Linked DNA regions of Canis lupus familiaris. Each later gene encodes a partner of the first gene's protein in a complex. Links are inferred from orthologs where the notes say so. Each region holds a gene or a part of one and is shown in the gene's direction. Other genes may lie near its edges. The genes, in order: SF3B5, SNRPD1, G-patch domain and KOW motifs-containing protein-like, DHX16, SNRNP40, HTATSF1 and SF3A2.

Region 1 (2,449 bases):
TGCTGTGTGTACATTAGATCTCTAGACTTACTCATCTGTACCTAACTGCAGAACAGAACTATTTTAAAGTCATCTTTCTCCCACTAAAGAGTCCCTTCTATTTGCTGCCACAGTTGTTCATCCATTCATCAAACGTTTTTTGAGAATGCGAGCTCTACCAGGCCAAGTATCGCAAGTGTGGTTATCACAAAAAAGATGCCACAAAAGAAGCTATGATAAATGATGGCATCAAAAAAGTATACGCTACTTTCCCCCAAGTAGTTTGAATTCACACGAGGGAGTTCTCAGAAAAAAAAAAAAAAAAAAAGAACCCAAAGCGTAGGCTATAAGGCGATCATAATGAAGCGATGTACAGGAGACTTTACGTCTGTCTGGTGTGGCCAAAGCCGATTTCAAGGAGATGCTTTTGAGCTGACTTAAAGAGAGAAGTTGTTTGCCAAGGGAACAAAAGCATTCCAAGCGGAGGGAACATCTAGTACAAAGAACTGGAGAGGCGAGCGGCACGGAATGCTGAGACACACAGGCTGGGGTGCGTAGGGTGGGGCGAGCAGCTGGAGGCAGGACATCAAATGAAGCAGCTGGAGCGCCGGGGGGCGGGGGGGGGCGGGGGGGGCGGGGCTCGGTGTGGGAGCCCGAACGTGTCGGCGCCCGAACGTGTCGGCGCCCGTAGGGTCCTCGGGCACCGGGCGGGAAACGGCGGCCCCGCCAGCGCTGAAGGAAGACGCACAGCTGGGAGCCGCAGTCGCGTCGACCGATTCTCAGGGTGACCCACCCCGGGCCGTGACGGGGCCCACCACGCCGCCACATTCGCTCCGAAACCAAAGTTACACCGAGGTTACTCTCACGGCGGCCTGTGGCAGCTCCCCATTTCTTCGCAGCTCCCAGCCGCCCAGGGATGCTCCCCGCCTCCCCGACACGACGCTCCACCAGGCGCCGGCGGGCTCTTAAACCGCGACGACCGCCCAGGGAGGCGGGCGCGCACGAACCCTCGGCGACCGCAGCTCCCGGCATGCAACGCTCCGCGCTAGAGCAAGGGCCACTGAATGAACCATGATGCAACGCTCTACGGAGGGGGCGGAGCTCTCCATGGCGGGGGCGGGGGGTGGGCGGCCGACTGGTAGCGTCGCCTAGGCAACTCCAATTCCCTGACGGAATACACTTCCGCTTCCTCCTCTGAGCGCTAGGACCGCGAGTCCTCGCGGCTCCGTGGCTGTGACGTCATTCTCCTGCGACTGAGCCGGCCGGGAGGTGCCGTGTCGTGGGCTCTCTCCCGCGTGGAAGTCTAGAGCAGCTTCTCCTCTGCGGCGTCTGACCTGGGCGCGAAGGGAAAGCGGCGAGATGACTGACCGCTACACTATCCACAGCCAGCTGGAGCACCTGCAGTCCAAGTACATCGGCACGGGCCACGCCGACACCACCAAGTGGGAGTGGCTGGTAAACCAGCACCGCGACTCCTACTGCTCCTACATGGGCCACTTCGACCTTCTCAACTACTTCGCCATTGCGGAGAATGAGAGCAAAGCGCGAGTCCGCTTCAACTTGATGGAGAAGATGCTGCAGCCTTGCGGACCGCCAGCCGACAAGCCGGAGGAGAACTGACACCCCCGTCTCGTCACTGCCACGCGGGAGCGTGTCCCGAGTTCCTCCCGTTTGCCGTTTCTCCCGCGTGTTCCTGCCCCGAAGTGGACCGGTTCTCCATTGCTCCTGTTTCTCGCGCCTTCCTCGTGCACAAGTGCTTAGCTGAGGCCGTCCCGCCTGACCTGCTTTCCTGTGGACCCTTAGGAACAGCGTTGGGAGACTGTCAGGACCCGTGAGAACTGAGACGGTGGAGAGGTCCTAAACCAGCAAGAGAGGGGGGAAGGAACTGGGATCAGACGGGATTTGGAGGCTCTTTTTTGGCTAGTTGATTGTCGTTTCTTTTTCCATAAAGTCTAGAAGTTTTTCAATCACTTGGTGTGGACCACTTGCGTTTGAGTGGAAGGGGGTCCAAGGAGGGCTTTGGGGACTTTAGTTTCTTGGGAGACCGAAGAGGCGGGAGATGGATGGGTGGAGGAGTTGAGCACAGGGCCAGCGTTCATTGGCATACAGTTAAATCCGCCTTGCACGATCTTTATAATATTCCCCAACCCAGACTTCTCCCAAGAGCTTTTTTCAGGCCCATAATGCCTTCAGGACTGAGGATTAAGGTTTATGATCACTGTATCCCTCTTTCATGTTCTTGCATTCAGAAAAATCTTTACTAGCATTGCCCACTCCTCTATGTAAGTTGCATCGTCTCTTTCTCTTGGGATTCTGGACACATCCTGAAAAACGACAGGCTGTCAGACGAGTTCTTTCATTCATTCGGCATTCAACAAATACTTGTTGAGTCAGTTCTATGTGGTGGGCATTTTGCCTCGCTTTTGGAGCTTATGTTATACTTGGGGGGGCACACAAATTGTAGGCATAA
Region 2 (2,259 bases), on another chromosome or scaffold:
TATATTTGTGTATGTGACACCAATTGCTTTAAAGGAAATCAGAATAATATGAGGTTTCAGTAACATGGTTAGTGACCCTGTGGCACTGACCATAATTGCTATTTGAAGTAGATGTTGGGAAAGTTAAGAGAATTCATGTTTTCTGGTCTAACTTTGTAGGAATAGAAATAAACTAGGTCTTTTGTTACCCATTTGTTCAGATATATTGGCAAAGGCTCCAATAATTGGGTATTTCTAAGATAATGCCATAATATTCATTCTAGAAAATTGTGCTTTTCTTTTACAAAATCTCACACTAAAAGCAATGGGAAAAATAGTTTGAGGCAGAGCATTCAAAACTTGTGCAACTTGGGAATTAAAGTACTAAAAACAGTAAGATTCCTTCAAAAAGCAGTTAAAAAGATGTGTTAAATTCCTAGTAACAAGGAAAATACTGCAATATATATAGGATCTTTTATTTAAAACAAGACTTACAGGGGCAGCTCCGGTGGCGCAGAGGTTTAGCGCCGCCTGCAGCCCTGGGTGTGATCCTGGAGACCTGGGATCGAGTCCCATGTCGCGCTTCCTGCATAGAGCCTGCTTCTTCCTCTGCCTCTCTCTCTTTGAATAAATAAATAAATCTTTAAAAATAAAAAATAAAACAAGACTTAACAGCTTGGTGACATGGGGAATAAGGAAGTTATGGAGATAGTGAGAACGCCCTGAGATGAGAATACCTGGGCACAGTGGGAATGAGTCAGGTATCACTCAGGGTTCCTCCGTGGCTTGCTGCATTCACATCTGTAAGCATACCTAATCATGCAAAACATTAATGTACTAGAGATAATCTCCGAAGAAAGGATTTTTGGTTTATATTGACATTATTCACCCATTAACCAGTTGTACTAAATTGTGTCCTAGAGTCTTACAGAATAGGCAGTGTCCTAGAGTGTAGCAGAATGGGCAGTATTCTTTTGTATTGTGTTATTTACTTCGGCTTGATAGATTTACTGGTTGCCTTCTTTATCATGCTAATAAGCTCTCTCTTTTTTCCCCTGTAGGTGTAGATGTCAGCATGAATACACATCTTAAAGCTGTGAAAATGACTTTGAAGAATAGAGAACCAGTACAGCTGGAAACACTGAGTATTCGAGGAAATAACATTCGATATTTCATTCTACCAGACAGCTTACCTCTGGATACACTACTTGTGGATGTTGAACCAAAGGTGAAATCTAAGAAAAGGGAAGCTGGTAAGTTTGAAGGATTATAAACATTATTTTTTAAAGATTTTATTTATTCATGAGAGACACACAGATAGAGGCAGAGACATACTCAAGATTTTTCAGGTTTTTATATTCCAGTTAGTAAACATACAATGTTATATTAGTTTCAGGTGTACAACATAGTGATTCAACAGTTTGATATGTGGCGAATGTACTCTTTAACCCCCATCACCTATTTCACCCATCTCCCCATCCCCCTCCTCTCTAGTAACCATCAGTTTGTTCTCTTACATAGTTAAGAGTTTGTTTCTTGATTGACTGATCTTTCTCTTTCCCAAATTTGCTCTCTTTGATCTTTATGTTGTAGGCTTGACTTGAATATCTTGTACTTTGACCATTTATTTAAATAATAGAATCCTAGGAAGAGAAGTTCTGGGAGGGGAGGCTGGACCCATAAGCTTGAGTCTCACTGTAGGGTGGTTCAGAAGTGAGTTAGCCTCTTCACTGAGGAAACCCAAAATTTCAGGATCTAGAGTCATTTCTGAAGCTTTGCACTCCCCACCCCTCCCACAAAAAGATTCTGCTCATCTATTGTAGGAGATAATGCCTAGCAGCCAGCATTATAGGAGTAGAGCAGGAGAAAGGGCTGGGTGTTTTGTAGACAGTCACTTAATACATTGATTTTGAGACTTTTATGCCCTCTTTCCACTAAGAAATATACTTTGTTGGGATCCCTGGGTGGCGCAGCGGTTTGGCGCCTGCCTTTGGCCCAGGGCGCGATCCTGGAGACCCGGGATCGAATCCCATGTCGGGCTCCCGGTGCATGGAGCCTGCTTCTCCCTCTGCCTGTGTCTCTGCTTCTCTCTCTCTCTCTCTCTGTGACTATCATGAATAAATAAAATCTTAAAAAAAAAAAAAAAAGAAAAAAAAAAAAGAAATATACTTTGCATCATGGCCCATTCATGCATATAACCAAAACAAAAATCTCAGGAAGAATTAGTCTTAATACTTGCAAATGTCTATATGTTTTCTATGCTCTTTTAGTTAAGAAAAA
Region 3 (3,500 bases), on another chromosome or scaffold:
TAGTGTGGGGAACGGGGTGGATTGGCAGATTCAGGTTTGGGGAGGCCATCATCAGGTTAATTTGGAAAAGACAGTCAGAGGGTGAGACTTCCAGAAGAGAATCAACCATCCAGGAGGTTGATGGGGAGCCTGGAACTGGGGAGAATCTGGGCTGAGGATGGTGATTTGTGAGTCATTGTGAAGGCCATGGAAGTGGGTGTTGGGATGAGCAGAGGGTCCAAGACTGAAGGCTGATTCCTTAAAGGCACTGACATTTAAGAGTTGGGGGTGAGGGAGAGAATCCAAAGAAAGCACCATTAGAGACTCACAGGAGAACAGAGGGTGTGGTCAGATGGGGGGGGTGAGTTTGGCTCTTGTGTTTTCTCTGAAGGGAGTAGTGTGGCTCAGAACCCACTGACATGCTACTCTCCCAACTTCATGCTTCTGTGTCCACATTAGTGTGAAGCCCTCAGAAAACCCCAAGGATCTCATCATCCCTTTGATCCAGAATGGCCATCGCAGGCAGCCACCAGCCCAAGCTCCTGGGCCATCCACAAATACTGAGGCCTTGATGGATGGAGTGCTGTCCCAGGCTGTGAAGGAGCTCATTGAGGGTGAGTGATCCCCTCTTCGCCATCCCCCTGTGAAGGAAGTGGGGGAGGAAAATGGAAGGATATGGTGGGACCTCATTGCTCCCTCCCATTCTTCCTTAGACTCCAAGAAGTCCCTGGAGGAGAGAGAGAATTCGGGTGTCGACCCCACGCTTGCTATCCCCATGATCCAGAAAGGATGCATTCCTAACGGGGAAGGGGCAGACAGCGAACCCCGGGCTGAGACAGTGAGCTGGCCCCTAATTCCTCCTGCCCCAGCCTCCCTTTGCCCTGTCTGCCAGACTTGCCTCTTTGCATACAGTGGGGCGGGGGGTACAGTCTGTGTGCGTGCTACAGGCCTGCTGCCTATCCCTTCCTCCTTCTGTCTTTTTTGGGAAGCATTAAAAAATTAATCAAGATACTGAGGTGTGGAAAACACTTGCATTCTGGGATTATCTGAACAAGATGAGGGGCAAAGGGAACAGGAAATGCAAAGATCCTAAGGGTAGACTCAGCCTGGAGTGTTTGAGGAACATCAAGGAGACCAGTGTAGCTGGAGTAGAATGGATGAAGGGGAGGAGAAGAATATGAAGTCAGAAGTGGCAGGGGCTAAACTAAGCAGGGCCTTGTGGACCATGGTGAGGACTTTGGCTTTTATCCTGAATGAAATGAGAGCCATGAGAGGGTTCTGAGCAGAGAGGGGTAAAAACTTAAGATTTGACAAGATCTCTGGCTAGTGTGAGCAGAACAGAATAGTAAGCAAAGAGAACAGTAGTGCAGGCTAGAAATGATGGCCAGTCAGACCAGAGTGGTAGGAGTGAGGTCTGGAAGGACAGGTAGGGTTTAGTGAGTGAGGGAAGAGCAGGGTGAGTACTAATGGCAGCAACAACCCCAAGCAGTGGCATGGTGGCAGGGAGTCCATGTGGTGTGGGTCCATCAGTGAAGCAACCCGCCGTGTGTCTAGAGTGAGTATAAGGAATTGAGAAAAAAGAGAGAAAAAAAAAAAAAGGAATTGAGAGAGGAGGGAAGAAAAGAATTGAGGGAGTGAGGATGGAATGTGATAGACAACAGAAGTGAGGGGAGTGTCTACAGAAGCAACCAAGTCTGTCTTTTATACCCATGGACTCCACTCTTCACCTCTTTATTCACAATGTTTTAGCAATGCTTCTTTGGGGCCTAGTTCTCCTACAGCCCCAGACCATCCTCTCTTTCGACTGAGCTGTTCTTGTTGGCCTTCACCTGTCTTCTGGCTTCTTTGATCATAAAAAAAAGACCTTCACTTCACTTTCCATCCTGTTCCTGCTTTGGCCTCAGTTCTCTCATATTCTCTCCTTCTCCGGCCTTTTACATCTCAGCTGATCACAGCTCCACCCCATCCTTCTTCTCACTTGGCCTAAAAACCTTAGAGTCTCTCTTGACTTCCCCCTTTATTTCATACCCCATATGCAGTCTTTCAGCAAAATCCTATCATCTCCCTTTGCAGTATACATCCAGAATTTGATCACTTCTCACCATCACCACTCCTACCACTCGTCTGAGCTACCAGCATCTCTCATCTGGATTATTGCAGTAACTTCCTCACTGGGACCCCTTGTGGAAGCCACCCTCCTGTGGCTCCAGCCCAGATCTCCTGATTAATCTTTCACTGCCCCTCTTCCTCCACCTCTTTCTCAGTCAGGTTGACCTTCATGATGCTCTTACCACTTGCCAGACTTGTTCTGCCACAGGGCCTTTGCTCTTACTGTTCTCTCTGCTTGGACTACCCACCTATCCTTCATGCTTCTCATATCGTTATGGCCCCCACTGTCATTTCTTTCTGGTCTCTGCTCAGATATCAACTCCGTGATACTCTCTTCTGCATCCCTCTGCATCCCCTTAATCTGCCTCATTTTTCTTCATATAACTTATCACTACCCGACATGCCACGTTTTATGTATTTTTATATGTATTTTTTATTATTTTTTTTTTTAGATTTTTTATTTATTTATTCATAGAGACAGAGAGAGAGGCAGAGACACAGGCAGAGGGAGAAGCAGGCATCATACAGAGAGCCTGACGTGGGACTCGATCCAGGGTCTCCAGGATCACACCCCAGGCTGCAGGCCGCGCTAAACCGCTGCGCCACTGGGGCTGCCCCTATATGTATTTTTTAAATTGTATGTCTACAACTAGAACGTCATCCCCACAGGGCAGGATCAGGGATTTTTGTCTGTTTTGGTTATCCTCGTCACCTAGGTCAGTACCTGGCACAGAATAGGTGCTTTATAATTATTTGTTGAAGGACAACATGGATGAGTAAAGTGAGGGACAGCAAGAGGAAATCAAAACTAACCTTGAGCTTACTGGAAAAGCACTAAGGGTCACTCATTGGGTAAGCAGGCTTCAGAGGGCCCACCATGGGCCAAGCCTGACTGTCCTTCCTTTGCCTGAATTTGTAGGTGCCAGAGGAAGCTGATTACGAGGCAGTCCCCGTAGAGGCCTATGGGCTGGCCATGTTACGAGGCATGGGCTGGAAGCCTGGTGAGGGCATTGGCCGCACCTTCAATCTGTGAGTTCTGGGGTGGGGGCAAGGGGCAGCAGACAGGGCAGTGAACAAGACCCCGTGGGTTACTGCTCATCCAGAACCAGAAGCTTTCTGCAACTGTTTCAGTCTCCTGTTTGCTCTTTGTTTGTTTGTTTGTTTTTAAAGATTCATTTATTTAATCATGAGAGACACAGAGAACGAAGCAGAGACATAGGCAGAGGGAGCAGAAGTAGGCTCCATGCAGGGAGCCCGATGCGGGACTCAATCCTGGATCCCAGGACCACGCCCTGAGCTGAAGGCAGATGCTCAACCGCTGAGCCACACAGGCATCCCTCCTGTTTGCTTTTTGAAACTCTGTAACGGGATCCCTTCTGTACGGGGTTACCTTTCTGAGCATTAGCTTCCTC
Region 4 (3,500 bases), on another chromosome or scaffold:
CTTCACTGGCATAGTCAGGGATACGCACAAAGAATTGAGGTCAGGGGTGAGCTCCTGCAGGCATGGCTGTCACCTGAGAATCCAAAGACTTTAGCAAAGATATCAAAGATGTGTCCCACATATAACTAAGGAGGAGACCAAGAAGCCCGCAGAGCCCTCTAAGATTGGGGTAGAAAGGCCTACTGGGGGACACCTGGGTCCCTCAGTGGTTGAACGACTGCCTCTGGCTCAGGGCATGATCCTGAGGTCCCAGGATTGAGTTCCATATTGGGCTCCCCAGAGGGAGCCTGTTTCTCCCTCTGCTTGTGTCTCTGCCTCTCTCTCTGTTTCTCATGAATAAATAAATAAAACCTAAAGAAAGAAAGAGAGAGAGAGGAGACGGAGAGAGAGAGAGAGAGAAAGAAAAGAAAGACAGACAGACAGGCTTACCTGGTTCCTCTCTCCAGAAGGATGCAGCAGGACCAAGAGACATGCACAACAGCAGTCTCATGGAAGCCTAGGAGCTCCTGGGCTGTGCAAATCCTGGTGCTTCAGGTCTGTATGTTCATTCTCAGCCAGCCTGGGGAGCCCAGCCTTACTCCCAAAGGCCCTGTTCTCACTTTTTTCCCCCCCTTTAAAACAGAAACTCTTATTTCTGTTGAGTCTAACAGATCCATGACTCTGATCCAGAGAGCATATGTGACTTGTCCTGGCCTTGGCTTTCAGCCTCCAGATCTTGGCCGTTGTTGTCTGTCCAGGCTGAGATAAACTGCAGACTGCGGGCCCTTGGCTTTCTTTCTTTCTTTCTTTCCTTTCTTTCCTTTCTTTCCTTTCTTTCTTTCCTTTCTTCTTCCTTCCTTCCTTCCTTCCTTCCTTCCTTCCTTCCTTCCTTCCTTCCTTCCTTCCTTCCTTCCTTCTTTTCTTTTCTTTCTTTCTTTCTTTCTTTCTTTCTTTCTTTCTTTCTTTCTTTCTTTCTTTCTTTCTTTCTTTCCTTTCTCTTTTCTTTTCTTTCTTTTCTTTTCTTTTTTTTTTTTCTTTTCTTTTCTTTTCTTTCTTTTGGCTTTCTTTAACATTGTATTAGTCTTCCTTAACTGGGGTGATTGGCCTCTCTTTGGAACCCCCCCTCCCATATTCACCATTGGGCTCTTTGCTTTCCCTTTGTGCCCTTGTCCAGGGGATCCTGTTGTCCTCTCCTGGGCAGCTCTCCTGGCTCACAGCTCTCTTGTTCTTTCCCCAGTGTGGTAATGGTAGATGAAGCTCATGAACGAACCCTACACACAGACATTCTCTTCGGGTTAATCAAGGATGTTGCTCGTTTCCGGCCTGAGCTGAAAGTCTTGGTGGCTTCAGCCACACTGGACACTGCCCGTTTCTCCACCTTCTTTGATGATGCTCCTGTCTTCCGAATCCCTGGACGCAGGTTTCCAGTTGACATCTTCTATACCAAGGTGCTCCCCTCAGGGAGGATGGGCTGAAGTGCGAGGCTGAAAAGCTTGGGCCTTTGGAGAAGGTAGTCCCAAGGAGGGAAGGGGAAATGGAGAGTCTGAAGAAGAACTGGGATAAACTGATTATTGAGCTGGGAGAAGAGGAAGTTTCTTGAACAGATGGCCTTCCTGTGACCCTCTCCTCCTCACCCCCAGGCTCCAGAGGCTGACTACCTAGAAGCTTGTGTGGTGTCTGTGCTGCAGATCCATGTGACCCAGCCCCCTGGGGATATCCTGGTGTTCCTGACAGGACAGGTGTGAGACATGGGGCAAGGGACAATGAGGTGTGTATCCCAGGGGAAAACAGAGCTGGCAGGTGGGCCTTCTGTCACTCTGGGACCTGTACTGCTCTCCCCATCCCAAATCCAGGAGGAGATTGAGGCTGCCTGTGAGATGCTCCAAGATCGCTGCCGCCGCCTGGGCTCCAAAATCCGGGAGCTCTTGGTGTTACCCATTTATGCCAACCTGCCTTCTGACATGCAGGCCCGTATCTTCCAGCCCACACCCCCGGGGGCACGAAAGGTCAGTTGGAGACGCCCACATTCTTCACCCCTATAGTTCACACAAATAGTGAAAAAGAGGGTGTGTGCCTGCCCTATGCAGGCTATGTCCTGGGCACTGCTGCAGCTGCAAGGCTTAGTTGTAGTCAATCCCTAGCCTCCAGAGCTGGAGAGAGAGGGTGAATTCAGCAAATATTTGATCCAGTTAGTAAGTATGTGGAGATGCAGAGGAGAAGGGAAGTCCTCAGGGTGCCAAAAGGTGGGATTTGATTTGGATCTTTAGGGAAAAAAAGGTAGGTAATACCAGAGTAAGGCTTAAGGTATGTTTAAGTCAGAATGTAATCCAAAAGGCTGAGGGGAAGGTTCATGTGGTGAAAACAATTCTGGACTGAGATTAGGGAAGGCCTTTGATAGCAGTTGGAAGCATTTTGACTTTAGATGATTGGGTTTTGAGCAAAGACGTAACTTCCATCCAACAAATGTATAACAAGCTCCTGCCATGTGCCAGATACTCTTCTTGGGCATGAAGATACAGTGATGAACAGAACAAAGTCCCTAGCCTCACAGCCGACAGTCTAACTTAAATTAGGAGACAGTGGACGCGTAGATGCCTGATGCTGATTTGTGACCAATGCTGTGGAGAGATATAGCCCAACATGGGGGAAAAGGAGACTGACTCCAGGGAGGCTGGGAGTGAGCAATGTCAGGAAGGTAGTTTCCTTGGGGTATGGGAAGGTGAAAGGGAAGCTGAGGCCTGAACCCAGTGAGGGAGGGAGCCAGGCTGATAGCTGGGAAGGGAGTGTGTCCAGCAAAGGAAGGCACTCATGCAAAGGACCCGAGTGAGGAGTGTGCTCAGACCAGCCAGGGAGCAACTGTGCAGGAGTGGAACGACGGAGCCTGTAGTCCTTGGAGATGAGATCAGAAAGGTAGAGCACTTGGAGACTTAAGGGGCTTGGATATAATTCTCCAGTAGGATGGGAAGCCATCAACGGATGGTGTTAGTGATGTGACAGGTTTACATTTTTAAAGGACAATCTGGGTGCCAGAAGAATGCCAGGTAAGCAGGACTTGGAGTAGAGGCAGGGAGACACATGAGGAGGCTATTGAAGGAAGTCCTAGCTGAGGAAGATTGTGAAAGTGGTAGTGGGAAAGATGGAGGCAGGGACCTGGACTCCCTCTCCCATCTCTAAAAAAAAAAATTTAACTCCTCCCATTTCCTTTCCGCCTTATGTCTCTTTTTTTCTTTCTTTCTTTCTTTTTTTTTAAGATTTTTATTTTTTTAAATTTATTTATTCATGAGAGACACAGGCAGAGGGAGAAGCAGGCTCCATGCAGGAAGCCCAATGTGGGCCTCGATCATGGGTCTCCAGGGTCATGCCCTGGGCTGAAGGCAGGTGCTAAACCGCTGAGCCACCCAGGGATTCCCTTATGTCTCTTTTCATTCCTTCTCTCCTTGAACCCTTCCTGGCCTTGTCCCTGTCTTCTGACATTAGGCAATAATCCTCTTTGCTCCTGTCCCTTATCTGTGCCTGCTTCT
Region 5 (4,220 bases), on another chromosome or scaffold:
AAATGGTCGATCTGCATCTATCTCTCCTCCAATCTGTTTATGCTACTGAGTGATCAAGCCACCACCTGTCCCATCACACCACTCTCTCCCCCCACCAAAACAAAAACAAAACAAACAAACAAACAAAAAGCTCGGTCGTTTCCCATCAGTCCTGAAGTAAAAATCCTGCACCTCTACCCACCTCCAGCTGCATCCTGTACCAGACCCTCCTTCATTCCCTCTGAAGTAGCCATAGTGGCCTCTTTCTGCCGTTCAGTCATTTTCCTCCCATTTGCCGCAGGGCCCCTGCACATGTTGTTCTATATGGAACGCTCTGCCTTTCTCCCTTGACCCAAATAATTACAATTCTTCCTTCAGGTATCAGTTCGGGCATCTTTTCCTCACAGAGGCTTTTCTGCTTATTGCAGACACTCATAACATCAGGCACCTCTCCTAGGCAGCACGTATTTTAAAGCTCTTAGTGAGATCACTGTTTAACATGCTTGCCCTCAATATTCAAATATTTGAATTGTTTGTTTGTTTTTAATTTATTTATTCATGAGAGACGGGGGGGGGGGTGCAGAGACACAAGCAGAGGAAGAAGCAGGCTCCATGGAGGGGGCCCGACGTGGGACCATCTTTGGTTCACAATGTATCCTCTCAGGGCTCTTTCCAATAAACACCAGTTGGACAATTAAGGAGACCTAGTTCCCAGATATGATTCCGAATTTCTCCACAGGACTGTGCTCTGGAGAAGCAGCAGTCGGATACTCCTCTCATCCCTGTCTCTCCCAGAGGCACTGAGCAGGCCCTCGTAAAAGGCTGCATGACCAGTGGCAGAAACAAGCCGGCCTCCTCAGTCAGAGAGAGGAGCCTGGTGGAGCTGGGAGACAGGCCCTTCCTCCCTGGGGGCGTTCGGCACAGGCACAGGGCTGGACACGGCAGGCGCTGGACGAACGAGTCGGCGGACGAGGGCCCCGGGCGGCCGCAGAGACCCCAAAGCCCTGCTCCAGCCTAGAAGGGGAACCCAGGCTGCTACGCGCCGACGCTGGGACCCCGGGGCCCGCCTCAGGCCCCTGCAAACCTTCAGCTGAGAAGAGCCAGGCTCACGTCACACAACCGAGGCGCCGTCTCTAGATGCCGCAGCCACCCACCCTCGACCTTCCTTCCACTTACTCTGGGTCAGCTCCCGGTCTCCCGGCCGCAGCATTGCGCGAAACGCCAAAACCAGACAACGCTTCCACCCACAAGACCCAGCGCGCCTAGGTGGGACTCCAGCTCCACCCACCAATCCCAGCACCGCACTCCCGTGACGCCAGAAAGAACTGACCAATAAAAGAAGAGTATTCAGGGAGGCGGTGCAGAGGGGATTGCTGCAGACCGATTGGTTACTCCAAGCCGGAAGTTCTGGGGGAAGAACTAAGTCGGAACCAATCGCGCGCTGCCTGAGGGTGTCGGCGCGGTCAGTGGCGGCGCTGAGGAGAGCGGTTGCCGCCATGATAGAACAGCAAAAGCGCAAAGGCCCGGAGTTGCCACTGGTCCCAGTCAAGCGGCAGCGGCATGAGCTGCTGTTGGGAGCGGCGGGGTCGGGCCCCGGAGCTGGGCAGCAGCAGACGGCGCCGGGAGCTTTGCTACAAGCGGTAAGTGGAGTCGCGGGCGGCCCTCGGGCCTCAGCTCATCTTCCCCTCAGGGAGCCCGCCCCCGGTGATCCCGCAGTGCGGGGTAGGAACGGGAATAGCTGCCTGCAGTTCACACAGGAAACACTGTAAAAGCGGTCGACACCCCCCCTGCCCCCCCGGGACGCTCCGCTCGTTACCTGGTTGGACGCCCGCTTTCAGCGTCTCGACCACCCTGGGAGGTGGCGTTACATTTAGCGTTAAGGACCTTGAAGTCAAAACCCGCACCGGGGCTTTTTCGTATTAAATCTTCCACAGGGACCCAGCGTGGAGTAAACATTCAGAAAACTTTGTAGAACGGCTGAAAAAAATGAATGAATGAATGAATGAATGAATGAGGAGAGAAAGGAAACGAATGAGCCCGGCTTGCTTTGGTCAAGATGCCCGCCCCCCCCCCCCCCCCCCCCATGTCTCAGCACTAGTACTGTTACTAACAACAACGGAACGAGAGCTGACCTTCATTTAATACCTGTCCTAAGGGCTTTGTGTATGAAAACCCCATTAATCTTGGTAACAGCTTAAGAGTTAGGAACTCTCAGTGCCCTGTTTTGTAAGCTCTTAACCCGGTAAGTGATAGGAAACGGTTTTAAAGCCGAATCCATGCTCTTAACTGCATTTCTTGTAAGATGGAGGTAATAACGATCACCCCTCTGCTGGGCTGGTAGGCTCCGATCAAGAAGTAAACGTCTCCACTCTCAACCTCTCCACCAGCCGGTGAGCAAATCCTGCTGGCACACCGTCCTCAAAATAGATGCCAAATTGCTAATCCTTGTGCCACCTCCATCACTCGCCCCTGGTCTAAGCCGTTATTTTTCTCATCTGGCATTATTGTAGTGAGGTCCTAACTGGTATTTCCTGTTTCTATTCTTTTATGGTCCATCTATTCTCAGTCCAGTGGCTAGAGAATCCTGCTAAAGGTCAGCTCGTGTTACCCTCTGCTGAAAACTTTTGATGGCTTTCCATTTCACCCAGGGTTAAATCCTTACAATCCTTAAAATCTTTTGCCCATTTTCCCTTTACCTCTCAGATCTACCAATTTTCCATTACTCCCCCTGCTCCAGTCACACTGGCTTCCATGCTCTTGCCTCAAAGCCTTTGCATTTGCTGCACTCAACTGGAATGCTCTTCAAAATATCCACGTGGTTTACACACTCAGATCCTCCAAATCTTTGTTCAGATATCACTTTTTCAGTAAGGGCCTTCCTGACTACCCTGTTTTAAATTGCAATACCCCATATGTATTAATCCACATCGCTTTTTTTCTTCCGTAGCACATACCAACCTGCTATATGTTTTGTTTTCTCTCTTCGTCTCTTCTCTTCCTCCTTTCCACGGGAACACAAACTCCATTGTTTATTTTGTTCAGTACTGTTTTCCCAACGCCTAAAACAGTGCCTGGCACGTTAATTTTTTTTTTTTTTTAAATAAATGAGTAAACTGAAAGCTATTAAGGATGTTTGGGGATTATCAATAGTGTACCAGGTCTTCTCTCTGACCGGAATGTCAGCCCAGGTTCCAGTGAATTGTCCAAGCCTAGGTTTAGTGTCAAGACCATAGTCAAAACTACTTTCCTGGGTAATATGTACCTTGCAGGGTTGTTGGGAAGCTCAGTTCAGGCATTAATTAAATGTGCTAGAGACTGGGAAAAGTGTTGAATGCAGGGTCCCTGCAGTCACAAAGCTGCTTTTCTACCGGGGAAGAGGACAAAATGTGTAAACCAATACAAAGGAAGGTGATTTCAGGTAGTCTTAAGTGCTGTGAGGAAATACAGTAGGATTAATGGAATACAGAGGGGAGGTGTGATGCTGCTTTGAGTTTGAGTGATCAATGAAAGACTTTCTGAAGAGGAAACATTTGGAAAGAGCTAAACACAGGACGATCAAGGGAAGAGGATTCCGATCAGGAGCAAGAAGTGTAAAGATCCTGAGACAGAAATGAGCTTAGCATATTTGAGCAATTTAAAGTTGGCTATGGGACAGAAGGAGCCTGAGGGAGTAGTCAGTATAACTGGTAGACACTGGACACTTGAGTAGGAGGGTATCAAATTGGAGGCCTAAGTTAATGTGAGAAGAGTTACCATTCTCTAAATCAGGAGAAATCTACTCAATGATTGTTTACCGTGTCTTTTGTAGTCTCCTTTGCCTGTATGTAGTAACTACCCTGTACTTCTGTCTTTTGTTTAGGGACCTCCAAGGTGTTCCTCCCTTCAAGCGCCAATCATGCTTCTCTCAGGACATGAAGGGGAAGTGTACTGCTGCAAGTTTCATCCCAATGGATCCACCTTAGCATCTGCAGGCTTTGATCGACTGATATGTAAGAGATAGTTTTTGAAGTTGGGATAATCACTCTCTGCTAAATAGTGATTATTTTTTAAAACCTTTAGTGCCACAGAGTGTATCAGTCTGGATTATTCGCATTACAAACTGCATAGCTAAAACAGTGTAAGGAGAATGTTGAATGATCTTGAATATAGACCTCAAGATCCATGTGGTAAATACAGAGGAGATTATGTTACTAGTTGAAAAGTGAGTTGCTCTTCTTTGAGAATATCTTCCTCATGGAGGC
Region 6 (3,500 bases), on another chromosome or scaffold:
CAGTTCCTTGAGTCATGTAGTCTTTTAAGTAGTAGTACTTGAGAATTTTAAAACTGTACCGTAGGGATGCCTGGGTGGCTCAGTAGTTGAGTGTCTGCCTTCAGCTCAGGGCGGGGTCCCAGAGTCCCAGGATCAAGTCCCGCATTGGGCTCCCTACATGAAGCCTGCTTCTCCCTCTGCCTATGTCTCTGCCTCTGTGTGTGTCTCTCATGAATAAATAAATACATTTTTAAAAATAAATAAATAAATAAAACTGTACCTTAAAAGTCACACAAGTCCATTTGCCTCATTGAGAAATTGAGACTCCCAAGAGGTAATACTCTTATTCCAATAATAATGCAGTTTAAGTACCTTCTATATGCCAGTCCCTATCCTTTATGTGCGTTCTTTCATTTGATTTTGTCAAGAACCCTGCAAAGAAGGCATTTTTCTTCCCATTTTACAGATGAAGAAATTGAATAACTTGCCCAAGTTCACAAAACTGGTTGAGGACAGCTGTTTCTAGAGTGCAGGTTTCCTGATAAGGCAGCCTAGAGTTCTTTATCTCAAAGGAGGTAGTTGTGATGAAATCTTTATTGTCCATATAGTCATCGTTTGCCTAAAAAACCTCCCCAAGTTTCATTTCAGCATGGAAATTCTATCTCATTTTACCTTTTTATAAAGAGGGAATCTGTGGATCTCGCGTTAAAGCTTCTGGACGAAGATGAAATTAGAGGCTACAAATTGCATGTCGAAGTGGCCAAGTTTCAACTGAAGGGAGAGTATGATGCCTCAAAGAAGAAGAAGAAGTGCAAAGACTACAAGAAAAAGCTGTCTCTGCAACAGAAGTTTGTGTTGATTTTCGCTTTTTGAATGATTTCATTTACATATCCTAGACTATGTTTTGGGTGTAGCTCCTTAGTTGTGTTCCATCAAATGTATGCAGAAGTTATTTTCAAAGAATTTCATTAGATCATCAGAAACCTTCAGTCATCTCTACTGCAGGATGATCTGGCAGTGGCAGCATGTCTATTTCCTGGAGTGTTAATTTGTAATATAAACCGGGCTTCAATGAGATGAGAGGGCCATCTCTGGAAGAAGTTGAACATGAAGTTAAATAAAATAGTTGAAGCTTGTTTACCAGAGCCATTAGTTCATTTCTAATGTGAATTGACATCAGCTACGCCAGGAGCTAAGGCGTCTGTGTAGGCTCATCAGTAGGAGTTAGAAACAGCAGCTTTTATGACTGTATTTGATAGGGTTGTACACGGTGTGTACAGTAAACATCATCAAATGTCTACTAATCCATTCATGTCAATGGGTTTTTTGAAGTATGCTGGTTTTAAGAAGTTGGCTGAAATGATAAGTATTTTCTTCTATCACAGTGAGTTCTAATAACACTTCTAACACTGCACTCAACTTAATGATAACAGTGCTGATAAAGGAGTTGAGTTGTGATATCCTATAGTTTTTACAGGAATAGGCTAGATACCTACCAATTTTATAAACACCTAGCAATAAAATTTTTGGTTATGTAACAGTAGTTTTACATATTTCAATGTAGTTTGGTCCTTATAATCATAAAATGCCTCAAAACCAATACAAGTAGAATGTATTTTTTGCCCTCAAAGTGTAGGCGTAGATACCAGATAGTCATAAATATTAAATAATTGGCTCTTTACAGGAATCTTACTGGAACATTTGTAACCAGACAGCAGCCCTGAAAAAAGATACATTCTGGGAATTTCAGACACTGGGTCCATCTTTCACCTGCCCATTAGTTTTACTTCCGAAAGTTCTCCAGAAATACATATTGTTATTTTAGAATCGAATAATTAGCATCACTATATACTCAAATAAAGGTTGATTGTAACAACTCCTTTTTTTCTGTCCTGCAAGTATGAAACAAAATTCAGTATCTTGTTCCTGCTCTATTGCATTAGGCAGTTGGACTGGAGACCTGAGAGAAGAGCTGGCCCATCTCGAATGCGCCATGAGCGAGTTGTCATCATCAAAAATATGTTTCATCCGATGGATTTTGAGGTAGGAGGTGATATTCCCACTGATGGAAACACTGATGTGTTTTCTTTCAAGGGAGTCCCAAGCTTGCTTCACCCCATGTTTTCACATGTCACATACCACCCCTCCATGTAGTTGTCAAGGTAGGAAAATAGAGCTAAGAGTGTATCAAAATGTTTAAATTTTCCCACATTCAGCCTAGGGTTCTTTTAGTTGTCCCCCAGGGAACACTGCTTAACACCCACACTGCAGCTGTAAACAGCAGCTACTTACTCTGGGAAATCATTAAAAATATAATCACTGAAAGATTTCTGGGCGCTGCTTATGGATTTTGAGTGCATTTCAACAAGCACAGGCCGGTTTGGGCGGGGAGTCATTTTATACTTGGCAAATGAGAACTTCACTTTGGTACCACAAATTTGATCCTTAAAACAAAACAAAAAAACCCTCAGGTTAATGAAAGACAGCTCCTGGTGTTTAAATACTAAAGGTGGTTTTTCGAGACCTGACGTTCATACAATGCTTTTGTGGCTATTAGGGGGACTTTATAAATACTTAGTGTCCAGGTAAAATTCTAAGAACAGCGAACAAAAGTGAACAGAGTGAAGAAGAGCTGGACAGGTGCAAGAGGTGTGCAAGGTATAGCATGCCGCCGGGGCACCTTGCGCTGGTCTGCCTCTTGTCCTTGGGGCTAGTCTTTTATCCAAACCACAGACGGCACTTGTGTGGCATCAGGTCTTTCTCCTCTCCCTGGAATCTGAAATTAATGACAACCAGTTACACACAAGATAGATAAAGACCACAAGTCAACATAAGTAAACATAAAAATAACAAGTCACACAACAACAAAGAAGGTTCATACTGTGAAACTCCAGATTTACAAATGATCTAGGTGCAACCAAAGACCTTTCTCACTCCTGTGCATTGAAACAGTGAGCATGGCAGTTTCACTGTAGCCCCCTTGGAGAGAACCCCCTATGGTCTGTTGAGCTCCATCCCAGCCCAGAGTCATGTGGTAGAGTTTGCTGTGCACCCATATGGTCTGTGCATCTTTTGAGATCACTGGGGAGATACATGTGGTCAATTTGTAACATTTGATGTTTCTACTGAGTAGAATCCTGACTCATCTTGAAACACTTTTTGAAACCGTTCCCCTGCCAAATAGAGATTTGAAAGGAATTTAGATGGACCCCAGGGTATCCCTATCTATTAGGTATGGCTCCCAATTTCTTAGAGTTCATCTCATTTAAATATTAAATGGCTTTTTAAAATTACATGACCTATTAATGTCTATGACTTCATGTCCTTGGTTTGATGCATGCATTCCATATTCTTAACACTTGAATGTGAATATTAATGCAAACTTAATTCAAATTGTCTGGAACCTCTGTGAGTAGAAGTCTGTTGTGTAATTACATCTGTTTTTGTGTTTTGCTTCTTGCCTTGCTCATTGAGCCACCTAATTTGAATCTGGCCATCACATTGTGCAGACTTAGTTTCTC
Region 7 (3,500 bases), on another chromosome or scaffold:
CCAAAGTGGGACAGCTGCCCCTCTCTGCCAGCAAGTGGTGGTCTGTGCCTCTTGGACAAAGACAAGGCTTTCGCCCCTCCTGGAGCAGGTGGGGACCACGGGGCGCGATGGGTGCTAACAGAGTGTGCTTCCCTCCCCAGGACCCTTACTTCATGAAGAACCACCTGGGTTCATATGAGTGCAAGCTGTGCCTGACCCTGCACAACAACGAGGTGCGTCCCTAGTTCCGGGCTGGGCTCTCCTGCCGCCAGGTCCAGGTGCCGCCTGTCCCGCTCAGGCGGGACTCTGTGCCCGTCCGCATCCTGGTCGTGCTCTCCCTGCTAATTCTGGGACGTTGTTCAGGGCAACAACGAGGGCAACAGGCCCGGATCTGCTCGCTCACCTGAGTGCCCCCCATCTCAGCCTGCGCCCCCAGAGCCCGCTGCCGCTGTGGTGCGCCAGGGGCCCCTCCGGCGTGCTTCCCCTGAGCGTCGTCACTGCCGTTCCTGCACGAACTAGACTTGCAGCTGTGGGGCAGGCCCGTCCCAGACATTCTGGATTCAGTTTTTGAGATCTCATTAGTGTGGCTCTAGCTCATTTCTTTGAACGACCGTACATTGTCCCACGATGGTATAACTAGCGCTCAGGCTGCCCTGACCCACTCAGTGACAAATAGATTCCGTTTGGTCTTCTGCACACTGTGGAATGTTCTGATGGTCTTTCAGCGCGTGTACAAGTGGTGCTGACTCAGCCAGTCTTGCGTGTCAGGGTCTGTCCCCCTCAGCACTGCTGACGTCAGAGCCGGGTCATTCTCTGGGGGGTGCTGAGCAGCATCCCTCATCTTGACGACCACAGACATCCCCAAACGTGGCCCAGCGTCCCCCTGGTGGTCCCAAAACACATGGGGTTCACCTTGCTCTCTAGAGGTCCCCTAGGCTGCGGTCAGCATGGACGCGCAGGGTCACAGGGTGTGTGCACCGTTGGGTTTGCCAGCGGTTGCCAAGTAGTCTGCACCATCCAGCCAGGTCCAGTAGGCGCCCTCCCATGACAGGCGGCGAGACCTGCCGTGTCCCACACCCCGTGATTGCGGACCTTCGCAGACCTACTCTGTCCCACTCTGCATGTGTCTCATTGCACTTCATGTGGACCTGCTAGAGTTTGTTGATTCCGCGGTGACCCGGTGTCCGCTTCGCGCTGGGCCCTGTGAACACAGGCCGGCTCCTCTCTGCCCACCCGTTCACTTGGGCTGTGTGTGTGCTTTTCCCGCTCCAGGGCAGTTACCTTGCGCATACCCAAGGGAAGAAGCATCAGACCAACTTGTGAGTACCCCCGCCTCCTTCCAGGGCCGTGTCTGGTCTCCGAGGTACACAAAGCGCACTTGGGTCTGTCCTTGCGAGCCACGCTAGAAGCAGCCCAGCCCAGCCGTGCCTCGGGGCTGAGTGGTTAAGCTAACCGGTCTTGCTGGGGTGTGAGGCTTCCGTGACACAGTGGGAAAGAGATGAGGGCTCACGGAGACTCCCTAGTAAAGGACGGTGGGAAACGTGATGAGAAGGGACAGGTGCCCCGACCTTGTCCCATCCCCACTTCAGGCAAACCCTGGGACCCCCAGCCAGCACCCCCACGCCACTCGCCTCCCAGACAAAGCCCAAGGTCAATGTGGAGGCTGGTTAGCTCCCAGCACCTGGGCCTGTGGCCTTGGCAGCCTGTGTGGAGGGGCCACAGCGCTTGTGTCCGTCCCGCCTGCAGGGCCCGGCGAGCTGCCAAGGAGGCCAAGGAGGCCCCCGCCCAGCCGGCACCAGAAAAGGTCAAGGTGGAGGTGAAGAAGTTTGTGAAGATTGGCCGCCCGGGCTACAAAGGTAACTCTGGGAGTGTGGTCTGGCCTGCTGCTGGTGGTGCACGCGAACGAGCCTTTGGCACAGACCCCCGACCCTGTCCGTGAGCCACCGGGACTGCTGTCCGTTGGCCGTCGCAGCAGGGGCCCTCCCTCACCTGCACCGCTACGGGCACCCCGCTAGTGCCCCGGCCCCGCCTCTCCTGTGAACATTCCCAAACAACCCATCAGGGTGCCGTGGCTCCCCTGCGCCGTATTCCAGTGTCTCGGGAGCTGGGGATTCTTTACAGTCCTAGTGAGGGTGTGTGGCCATGGGGGTCAGCGATTCCCTTTCTTTTGACCTCGGGGTGGGGTGGGGCAGGGGGTCCGTGTAAGAAACCGCATGTAGGGGACTGTGTTCCTGGGAGCTAAAAGGAAAGGAAAAACTACCAGGCAGGTATCCTAACCAAGGGTAGGGACGCCGCGAGGGTGACGGGCGTTCCAGGCAGGACGGAGCCGTGCAGCTGTGCTTCATAAGCTAGGGCTCGGATGCCAGGATCCTTGTGGGGAGGCCACTAGAGGCCTTTTGGCCATAATAGGGCACCTGGTGTCTGTCCTGATTAAAGTAGGGGGACGCTTGAGGGCTGAAGGAGGGTGTGGCGTGCCTGGGAGCTGGACGGAGAGCAGCCTGGAAGTGTGGGCACGGCCACTGGCCTCTGATGAAGAGGGCCGCCTCCCAGAAGCCGGGTACGGGCATCGCTAGCCTTACTGCACCCACATCGTGCTGTCCCAGCCCTGCAGGTGAGGGCCGCAGAGCCCACTCTCCTGCCCACACCCCTCCCTGTGTGATCTCACGCGGGGACCCTCCTGGCCCTGGGCGTGGACTGCAGGTAGCTCTGGTGTATCAGCCAGCTGGTGTCCTCTAGTGTCCTGCCCTCCCGTTCGTGGGCAGCAGCCACGGTCCTTTATCTTCGGGGGGACACGCTAGTCGGGACTTGAGACCCTTGTGTGTTGCAGTGACCAAGCAGAGGGACACGGAGATGGGCCAGCAGAGCCTCCTTTTCCAGGTAAGGTTAAACCTGGAGTCCCATCCTGAGTGAGGGAGGGTCCCTTGAAAGGCGGCGTTGCCACCTGCTGTGTCCCCACAGATCGACTACCCTGAGATCGCCGAGGGCATCATGCCCCGCCACCGCTTCATGTCCGCCTACGAGCAGAGGATCGAGCCTCCGGACCGGCGCTGGCAGTACCTGCTGATGGCTGCTGAGCCCTACGAGACCATCGCCTTCAAGGTAGTGCAGGCGGGGTCCACCGATCCTCGTGGGCAGGCAACGAGGCTGGAGTGTCCCTCCAGCCACTCACGGGTGCCCCACCTGGGTCCTTGGCTCTGGCAGGCTGGGGAGGGACATCCTGAGGTCCCAGGTGCCCCTAGCCGTAAGAAGCCCTCGTTCCCAGGCTGGTCAGGGACCCCATGACCTCGTCCTGGGCCCAGACAGACCACGACCCTCCCCCGGGGTGGCCGGCTGGCGACGTGGGCCAGGTCAGGTACCCAGAGCCGAATCCTGAGGCCCCTCTGCCTCCACTCCCTGCACAGGTGCCAAGCAGGGAGATCGATAAGGCCGAAGGCAAGTTCTGGACTCACTGGAATCGGGAAACCAAGCAGGTAAGTCATTCTGGGTCCGGGCAGTTCTGGGGCTTTCGGTGGCTGCCCTGC

What was found.
Region 2: SF3B5 (region 1) and SNRPD1 share a complex: the UniProt entries of both Homo sapiens proteins name them as parts of the minor spliceosome. The link is inferred for Canis lupus familiaris from reciprocal best matches to the Homo sapiens genes SF3B5 and SNRPD1.
Region 3: SF3B5 (region 1) and G-patch domain and KOW motifs-containing protein-like share a complex: the UniProt entries of both Homo sapiens proteins name them as parts of the minor spliceosome. The link is inferred for Canis lupus familiaris from reciprocal best matches to the Homo sapiens genes SF3B5 and GPKOW.
Region 4: SF3B5 (region 1) and DHX16 share a complex: the UniProt entries of both Homo sapiens proteins name them as parts of the minor spliceosome. The link is inferred for Canis lupus familiaris from reciprocal best matches to the Homo sapiens genes SF3B5 and DHX16.
Region 5: SF3B5 (region 1) and SNRNP40 share a complex: the UniProt entries of both Homo sapiens proteins name them as parts of the minor spliceosome. The link is inferred for Canis lupus familiaris from reciprocal best matches to the Homo sapiens genes SF3B5 and SNRNP40.
Region 6: SF3B5 (region 1) and HTATSF1 share a complex: the UniProt entries of both Homo sapiens proteins name them as parts of the 17S U2 SnRNP complex. The link is inferred for Canis lupus familiaris from reciprocal best matches to the Homo sapiens genes SF3B5 and HTATSF1.
Region 7: SF3B5 (region 1) and SF3A2 share a complex: the UniProt entries of both Homo sapiens proteins name them as parts of the 17S U2 SnRNP complex. The link is inferred for Canis lupus familiaris from reciprocal best matches to the Homo sapiens genes SF3B5 and SF3A2.

The regions. Positions count from the first base shown.
Region 1 is NC_049222.1:35,794,967-35,797,415, reverse strand, and holds SF3B5 (splicing factor 3B subunit 5), read left to right. Parts: upstream 1-1,204; 5' UTR 1,205-1,338; coding exon 1,339-1,599; 3' UTR 1,600-1,949; downstream 1,950-2,449. UniProt on the Homo sapiens protein: Component of the 17S U2 SnRNP complex of the spliceosome, a large ribonucleoprotein complex that removes introns from transcribed pre-mRNAs.
Region 2 is NC_049228.1:66,463,568-66,465,826, reverse strand, and holds part of SNRPD1 (small nuclear ribonucleoprotein Sm D1), read left to right. Parts: intron 1-1,040; coding exon 1,041-1,232; intron 1,233-2,259. UniProt on the Homo sapiens protein: Plays a role in pre-mRNA splicing as a core component of the spliceosomal U1, U2, U4 and U5 small nuclear ribonucleoproteins (snRNPs), the building blocks of the spliceosome.
Region 3 is NC_049260.1:42,458,503-42,462,002, reverse strand, and holds part of G-patch domain and KOW motifs-containing protein-like, read left to right. Parts: intron 1-438; coding exon 439-593; intron 594-692; coding exon 693-817; intron 818-3,007; coding exon 3,008-3,117; intron 3,118-3,500. UniProt on the Homo sapiens protein: RNA-binding protein involved in pre-mRNA splicing. As a component of the minor spliceosome, involved in the splicing of U12-type introns in pre-mRNAs.
Region 4 is NC_049233.1:603,122-606,621, reverse strand, and holds part of DHX16 (pre-mRNA-splicing factor ATP-dependent RNA helicase DHX16), read left to right. Parts: intron 1-1,216; coding exon 1,217-1,427; intron 1,428-1,619; coding exon 1,620-1,718; intron 1,719-1,832; coding exon 1,833-1,985; intron 1,986-3,500. UniProt on the Homo sapiens protein: Required for pre-mRNA splicing as a component of the spliceosome. Contributes to pre-mRNA splicing after spliceosome formation and prior to the first transesterification reaction.
Region 5 is NC_049223.1:69,116,161-69,120,380, forward strand, and holds the start of SNRNP40 (U5 small nuclear ribonucleoprotein 40 kDa protein), read left to right. Parts: upstream 1-1,420; 5' UTR 1,421-1,475; coding exon 1,476-1,619; intron 1,620-1,795; exon of another isoform or gene 1,796-1,934; intron 1,935-3,838; coding exon 3,839-3,968; intron 3,969-4,220. UniProt on the Homo sapiens protein: Required for pre-mRNA splicing as component of the activated spliceosome. Component of the U5 small nuclear ribonucleoprotein (snRNP) complex and the U4/U6-U5 tri-snRNP complex, building blocks of the spliceosome.
Region 6 is NC_049260.1:107,807,800-107,811,299, forward strand, and holds part of HTATSF1 (HIV Tat-specific factor 1), read left to right. Parts: intron 1-663; coding exon 664-827; intron 828-1,922; coding exon 1,923-2,022; intron 2,023-3,500. UniProt on the Homo sapiens protein: Component of the 17S U2 SnRNP complex of the spliceosome, a large ribonucleoprotein complex that removes introns from transcribed pre-mRNAs.
Region 7 is NC_049241.1:57,260,975-57,264,474, reverse strand, and holds part of SF3A2 (splicing factor 3A subunit 2), read left to right. Parts: intron 1-140; coding exon 141-212; intron 213-1,251; coding exon 1,252-1,298; intron 1,299-1,725; coding exon 1,726-1,835; intron 1,836-2,806; coding exon 2,807-2,856; intron 2,857-2,937; coding exon 2,938-3,078; intron 3,079-3,380; coding exon 3,381-3,449; intron 3,450-3,500. UniProt on the Homo sapiens protein: Component of the 17S U2 SnRNP complex of the spliceosome, a large ribonucleoprotein complex that removes introns from transcribed pre-mRNAs.